2 linked regions of the Daphnia pulex genome follow. Each later gene encodes a partner of the first gene's protein in a complex. Links are inferred from orthologs where the notes say so. Each region holds a gene or a part of one and is shown on either strand. Other genes may lie near its edges.

Region 1 (2,695 bases):
CAACACCTTCTCCAGGAATTCATTAGCAGCGCTCACGGTAACGCCTTTTTTAATAAGACATGATAATAGTAATTCCAGGAATATTGGTTTGTGACGGTTAACTTCATATTCTAACGCGTTATGGGGACGACGCTTTCACGCTGATTGCAACTGACTGGGAAACTACGTGCCCGTAATTACTTTTGCCTCAGTTATTAAAGGGCAAGATGTGCACCGGAATTATAAAAGAGTATAGGCCTAGCCCGCGCATACAAAGGAGCTGAGGAGCAAGGAAGAGAAATGAAAGTTATGGCTCATTCATGATGTCTGCCTCATCTGAGGCAGAGTCATATGAAAAGGCACAGACGAGACGGAGACGAACGACTGACTGAAATAGAAAAGGATTCCACTAGAGTTTGTGCAGTTTATCTCATGTGTAATGCACTGCTCAGCGCAGTTACCCAGAAAAGAGCCAAGGAGAAAATGCATTGCATTAAATGGGGGTATCTACACAACAATGCCTTGTCGCACAACCAACGGACGGTAAAGTCGAGGACGGGGAGTAGAACCTGAACGACATGAATGCAGCATCGATTTTTGCAACGCGCTTCATCCGGCTCGGCTCGGCGGAAGCCGAGTGACGATCGATACCCTCAGACCCCAGAGAATTTTGGCAAATTAATCATTTTCGGGCCCATGGTAGACCAATATTGCCGCACTTTATAAGGCGATCAGACTAGAAAAAAGAAACGAACTGATTAATAGTTGACTGCAGCAACAAACTCTGAATCGTAAATTATTAACGGGGTTTCTGCCTCGATATCGGTCGGTCACGGACTTGCTATTATTATTTGATTTGTAATGCATCAAGATGAAGGCGGAACATGGTCGGCGATGTTTAAATCAAAACCCGTTCTTGGAAACGCAATAGGGAGTTTGGGAACAAAAATAGAAAATCTGTTGAGTCAACAACTTGATAATCGGTTTAGTTGCGCACGTACTCATATTTCAATGGCTCAAAGCTTGGCACTTCAGTTTAGGCTGGCATATCAAAAGATCAATACTTCAATTGACGTGAATTAGGCTTGCAATTCTTTAGAAGTTCGTCGTCACAATTAACGAATACGAAGTCTTGAAGGGAGGTCATAAGACGTAGGCATAATTGCACGGTTCTGGAGCCAATCTGAATTGTACGGTGAATAAACAAGGCTAATTCAAAAGTGGAGCTCCTCATTATAATCTCCCCGTGAATTGGGTGGAAGTTGCCCTCCAACAAATGCGTGAACCATGAGTTTAAAATTTTTTTGATCACGAATTGTGTCTTTTGAAAAATAGGAATTAAATGAATTGTATAATAAACCCATCATTTTACTATTTTAGATTACGGGCGTAAAGACAGGAGAAATTGAGTCACGTGTCGGCAGAGTAAATGTAAGTTTCCTTCAATACTATACATTTTTTTATTTATTTTTTATTTTAATGTTACCAAAAGACTTGTGTAGCATTTTAAATAGAGACGCAAATCTGGAAATTGAAAAAAAAAATGGAACGGAACAAACAGCAAAACGTGTGCTTTTAGAAATGTGGCATTGGTGCATGGCCGCTGCATTGACGTAAATAAAGATTTCTGCTCTTGTAAAGTCTCTTAGAAAATCTACGGAAAACAACTTCAAAATGGGCCTTTACGGAATAAGGGCATGTTTGGCAGGCAAATACGTTCAAAGGAGCTTGTGCACAACTTGGTAAATACCGGTAGTCAGTATATGACGTCAAGAATTTAATTTATGAGTGGCTACATTAAGAGCTAACTACATTACAATACAATTTGATATTATGAGAAGAAAGCAAAATATTAATGGCACTATTTTCTTGCAGTAATTCTCTCTCACCAAATGCAACTAAAGCTGCCCCGAAAGTTACACCCCTGTCCAAGATTCTAATAGCCAATCGAGGTGAAATTGCCTGCAGAGTCATCAGGTCTGCAAAACGGTTAGGCATCCAAACTGTTGCTGTTTACAGTGATGCAGATCGTAATGCTATGCATGTTAACATGGTAACAACTTTAGAGATTGTATTTGTATTTATGTTTTATATTACATTTGAGTTTACATATTCAGGCTGATTCTGCCATCCGCCTTGGCCCAGCATCCTCTGTTGAAAGTTATCTAAGACAAGACAAGGTTCTAGAAGCTGCTTTCAGAACAGGGGCTCAGGCAATACATCCTGGATATGGATTTCTCTCTGAAAATGTTGAATTTGCAGAGCTTTGCTCTAAAGAGGGTATTATATTCATCGGTCCTCCTGCTTCAGCCATCAGAGACATGGGGATTAAAAGGTATTATTTGTGAAAGTTGTTAAAAGTTTATCATGGAAAATTCTATTCGGAACAATCTTTTATTTCACAGCACCTCCAAACACATCATGTCAGCTGCTGGAGTTCCTGTGATTCATGGATATCATGGAGTGGATCAAACTGATGAAAGATTAAGGCATGAGGCAGAAAAAATTGGATTTCCACTCATGATTAAAGCTGTTCGAGGTGGAGGTGGTAAAGGCATGAGAATTGCGCTTACACAGAGTGAGTTCGAGACTCAGCTCGAGTCTGCTAAACGTGAAGCACAAAAGTCATTCGGGGATCAGGTAGAGAAATTCTTGCATTAATCTTCCTAATTTTCTGTCATTTTTGATAACTGCATAAATTGCAGAATAGAATCAA
Region 2 (4,272 bases), on another chromosome or scaffold:
TACTGGATCTATACAGTATATAAAAAAAGAATAATCATTTGTAATGTTGTAAAATGAATAGACGAACTTTTACCTAGCTGGAGTGCGCCGAGAAGGCAATTCGAAATGTTGCGGAGGTTGAGGAGTAGGAGCCGGACTGGACTCATTACTATATGGGATAATGTCAACTGAATGCTGAAGAGATCCAGGAATGGATAGAACACCTTCTTGAGATGCTTGAAGGAATGCCTGTTCCATTGCTGCAGAGTTACACATGTCAATGTGAAGAAGGGAACCAAGGTCCTGCAGGGCTACAACCTGCTTTAGAGTCAGTTGTAGTTCCTCCCCACCATACAAAACTTCAAGCAGCAAACGTAGAGGCTCATAATCAACACCAGGCAAATGAATCACGATTGTAGGATCAGGATTACTGATCAATAGATGTTTGAGGAAATTGCTTGCACCAGCCAAGACTATGCTATGAGCAAAGACAATCCCTCCTTCAGATATAAGCTGTACATCTGTGTAACACAGTCTTCTCTGACAAGATTGAATAGATTCCATCATAGTTTTGGAATGTAAGGAATAAGTCAGTCTGAGTGGCTGCGAATAGGAAGCATCTGGATAGTCCATGACTGAGCCTTCCCTCTCAAGACACCACAATTATTGACTAAAACACCTGCAATATCAAATAATTATTGAATGAACACATAAGCTGAAGTTGCAGTTAATCAAATGATCAAAATATTTGCAAAAATATACCCCAAATCAAGGAGGAATGACGCAGAATGTCAACGACCTCGTAAGAAGTCACGTTCGAGTTATCACTGGCAGGTGGCCTAGCCCTGTTTGTTCGCTTCTTTCACCATCGCTGCTACACCATCTTTTTCTCCATCACGATGTAGTACCCCCTCATTGTTATTTTCACTAGACGATATCACAAATGAAGTCAAATACAGAAACCGTATACACTATGTCGTAAGGCACTGATAAACACGCCGATAATCTTCAATTTTTTTTTTTAGAGAACCATATCTTTTACACACGAACAACAAAATACAAGAAACTGAAACGAAGAACAGTCGATACCGCCGACTCGATGACGAACGAGAACGAACTCAACGAAGATTTCGTAGACTCTTTCTGGGATTCGGCGACCAGCCGACCAATGTTACGGTTAACTGAGTTGCTTGAACCAGTTGGTCTGATAACAAACCTACAAATTGAAACTATTCCTTCTGTACCCCAGTATTGCATAAAGTAGTATATTTATAAAAAATTCAGTGATATTTCATGATTTATGGTCCTAAATAATTGGTCTAGCTTCTGGATTTAATTGATTTAGTTTGCGGATCCACAAAGGCAACGTTGGGTTTACATTTCTTTGCAGACGAACTGTTTTCATTTTTTACTGTAACTAATTCCGGGCTTTAAAGACTCGAGAAAAACAACTCCGTAAATTTGAGAAGGCTCTCTAATTCCGAGAGATAGTCCCATAAAAATGATGTCGATCGCAAAATACAGTAATCTCAGCTACCGTGTAATGTGCAATATGAAACGACTTGTCCCTGTTTCTTCCAGAAATTACTATGCAAATGATAATGTCGTTCCGATTGGAACAGATCAAGATAGAAACTCTGACACCTTCCAGGTTGTTTTTTTACTTCTGAAAGGCTTTAAAATTTAATTTAATAGTAGTTTCAATTCTGAAAATTTATAATTGTTAGTTAACATACAGTTAATTCTTCTTACAGGATAATTACAATAGAATGGCAGTCTTAGTCTCCCAACTGAAAGCAAATATTCAGAGAGTTCAAGAAGGAGGAGGTGCAAAAGCCACTCAGCGACACAAGTCAAGAGGAAAACTTTTGGCGAGAGAGAGGGTGGAAGCTTTAATTGATCCATCTTCACCATTCCTCGAATTTTCTCAGTTGGCTGGAAAGGATTTGTATGGATCTGATGAGGTTCCTGCCGGAGGTGTTATTACTGGAATAGGACGAATCATGGGGTAAAAATTTTAACAAAGAATCCATGTTGTCGTAATCTTACGTCCTCACTTGAAATTGCAGAAACGAATGCGTTATTGTTGCGAATGATGCAACTGTTAAAGGTGGAAGTTACTACCCAATTACAGTAAAAAAACATCTTAGAGCGCAAGAAATCGCCGAACAGAATAGGTGAATATTTTCCTTAAAAAGAGTATTAAATGCAAACTAACGATTGTTCTTCAAACAAAAATGTGTTGCAGTTTACCTTGTGTCTATTTGGTCGATTCTGGAGGTGCCAATCTGCCACACCAGGCCGAAATCTTCCCTGATCGAGAACATTTTGGAAGAATCTTTTACAATCAAGCAAACATGTCTGCCAAGGGAATTTCTCAAGTATAGTGCAAATTTCACAATACTCTATAGTTTTCCATGTGTGATCAACATTTTGTGTCCAAAATAGATTGCGGTAGTTTTGGGATCTTGTACGGCGGGTGGCGCTTATGTACCAGCTATGGCCGATGAAAGTATTATTGTTAGGAAACAAGGAACCATTTTTTTGGCTGGACCTCCACTAGTCAAGGCTGCCACGGGTGAGGAAATCAGCGCAGAAGAATTGGGTGGTGCGGACCTTCATTGCAGGTATTTTAATAATTTAACCTTTCATTGCATAGCTGTTTATAACTGAAACAACTTTACTTACTAGTAAATCCGGAGTTACGGATCACTATGCCGTTGATGATCTCCATGCATTACATCTGGTTAGTATAATGTTTTCTTATTGGGTTAATTCATTTCCGTTTGTAATTTTTCATATTTTTGTTAGGCAAGAAGGGCTGTTGGTAATCTGAATCTGGTGAAGAAGCCGGATATTTCTGTAGCCCCACCAGAAGAACCTCTCTATCCTGCCGATGATATTTATGGAATCGTTGGTGACAATGTTAAGAAAAATTATGACATTCGTGAGGTATATTAAATAACATGAAACAAGAAAAGAATTTCAGTCCTATTGCAAATAACGTAGGTCATCGCTAGAATCGTAGACGCATCGAGATTTGACGAATTCAAAGCCAAATACGGAGAAACACTCGTCACAGGATTTGCACGCATCCATGGTTATCCGGTCGGAATCATTGCAAACAACGGAGTTCTCTTTGCTGAATCTTCGATGAAAGTGTGACCCATTTCCATTTTCATTTGCTTATTTCTTCAATGTATAATTTGCCCCCTTTGTTGCATAGGGAGCCCATTTTGTAGAATTATGTTGCCAGCGCCGTATTCCGCTTATCTTTCTTCAAAATATCACCGGTTTCATGGTCGGACGAGAGGCGGAAGCAGGCGGCATCGCTAAGCATGGAGCTAAGCTAGTCACAGCTGTTGCTTGCGCTCAAGTTCCAAAGCTAACCGTTCTTGTCGGTGGAAGCTATGGAGCCGGAAACTACGGGATGTGTGGAAGAGCCTACAGGTATTGTTCGTCAGAGACTCTTAACGCAAATGTTTTTGGTTCAAATGCACTCTTCTTTTTATTTTTAGCCCAAGATTTTTGTACATGTGGCCGAATTCGCGAATTTCAGTGATGGGTGGTGAACAAGCTGCCGGAGTCCTTGCACAGATTTCGCAAGAGCAGAGAAAACGAGAAGGCAAACAGGTACAACCCATAGATGCTTAATTAAGCTTGTTTTCCAATTTAAAAAAATCGTTTCCTTTCATAGTGGACTGCTGAGGAAGAGAAAGCATTAAAAGATCCGATTTTGAAGAAGTATGATGTTGAAGGATCTCCGTACTATTCTTCGGCTCGACTGTGGGATGATGGTGTAATTGACCCAGCTGACACACGCAAAGTTCTGGCACTGAGTCTTAGTGCAGCGCTTAATGCCCCAATCCCATCCACTAAATTTGGTATTTTTAGAATGTAAATCTGGGCGAGAAAGTGTATAAAATATATAGATAACTATTGATGTTGGGTCATCCAAAAACAATTTATTGATTCATAATTACATTTTTGTTTCACAGGCATTCTTACCTAGACTATAACCATCATTCAAAATTAATAAATTTTTATTTCTTTATTTATTCAGATATTTCGCCTGACACGTTAATGTGTTTTAAGTTTTGACCTTGTAAGTCTTCGAAGAATCAATGCCCCAAATTTATAGGATGCAAACATTGTGAACACCAAAGACACAAACAAAAAGAGCCACACATCAAGCAGATAAACTTGATAAAACGGCATGTCTTTACTTTGAGGGTGTTTTGGTCCGCCGTGACGAAGGACGTGTTCTACCCAATAGGCAGCTACTTTTCTTGA

The links.
Region 2: the proteins of methylcrotonoyl-CoA carboxylase subunit alpha, mitochondrial-like (region 1) and methylcrotonoyl-CoA carboxylase beta chain, mitochondrial-like are in contact, whole or in part, in a cryo-EM structure (PDB 8JXM), measured with the Homo sapiens proteins. The link is inferred for Daphnia pulex from reciprocal best matches to the Homo sapiens genes MCCC1 and MCCC2. Residues at the interface, in NP_064551.3 of Homo sapiens: Glu519, Phe526, His531, Asp532, Phe534, Ser535, Pro536, Phe537, Ser538, Ser539, Ser540, Ser541, Gly542, Arg543, Arg544, Leu545, Asn546, Ile547, Tyr549, Thr550, Arg551, Tyr568, Tyr636, Leu637, Ser641, Glu644; in NP_071415.1 of Homo sapiens: Leu56, His57, Val60, Glu61, Lys64, Asp88, Ile91, Pro93, Gly94, Ser95, Pro96, Phe97, Leu98, Glu99, Gln102, Ile123, Gly124, Arg125, Gly128, Glu130, Arg234, Trp276, Leu278, His281, His282, His285, Lys298, Lys299, Leu300, Ile304.

The regions. Positions count from the first base shown.
Region 1 is NC_060018.1:1,614,478-1,617,172, reverse strand, and holds part of methylcrotonoyl-CoA carboxylase subunit alpha, mitochondrial-like, read left to right. Parts: intron 1-1,359; 5' UTR 1,360-1,410; intron 1,411-1,471; exon of another isoform or gene 1,472-1,493; 5' UTR 1,494-1,653; coding exon 1,654-1,721; intron 1,722-1,854; coding exon 1,855-2,032; intron 2,033-2,096; coding exon 2,097-2,314; intron 2,315-2,384; coding exon 2,385-2,619; intron 2,620-2,695.
Region 2 is NC_060021.1:11,219,014-11,223,285, forward strand, and holds methylcrotonoyl-CoA carboxylase beta chain, mitochondrial-like, read left to right. Parts: upstream 1-1,370; 5' UTR 1,371-1,480; coding exon 1,481-1,630; intron 1,631-1,733; coding exon 1,734-1,987; intron 1,988-2,048; coding exon 2,049-2,156; intron 2,157-2,227; coding exon 2,228-2,360; intron 2,361-2,427; coding exon 2,428-2,606; intron 2,607-2,670; coding exon 2,671-2,725; intron 2,726-2,790; coding exon 2,791-2,931; intron 2,932-2,988; coding exon 2,989-3,138; intron 3,139-3,205; coding exon 3,206-3,429; intron 3,430-3,497; coding exon 3,498-3,612; intron 3,613-3,676; coding exon 3,677-3,880; 3' UTR 3,881-3,934; downstream 3,935-4,272. Other genes in the region: fez family zinc finger protein erm-like, read right to left, coding at 1-8, 74-612; UDP-glycosyltransferase UGT5-like, read right to left, coding at 4,060-4,272. UniProt on the Homo sapiens protein: Carboxyltransferase subunit of the 3-methylcrotonyl-CoA carboxylase, an enzyme that catalyzes the conversion of 3-methylcrotonyl-CoA to 3-methylglutaconyl-CoA, a critical step for leucine and isovaleric acid catabolism.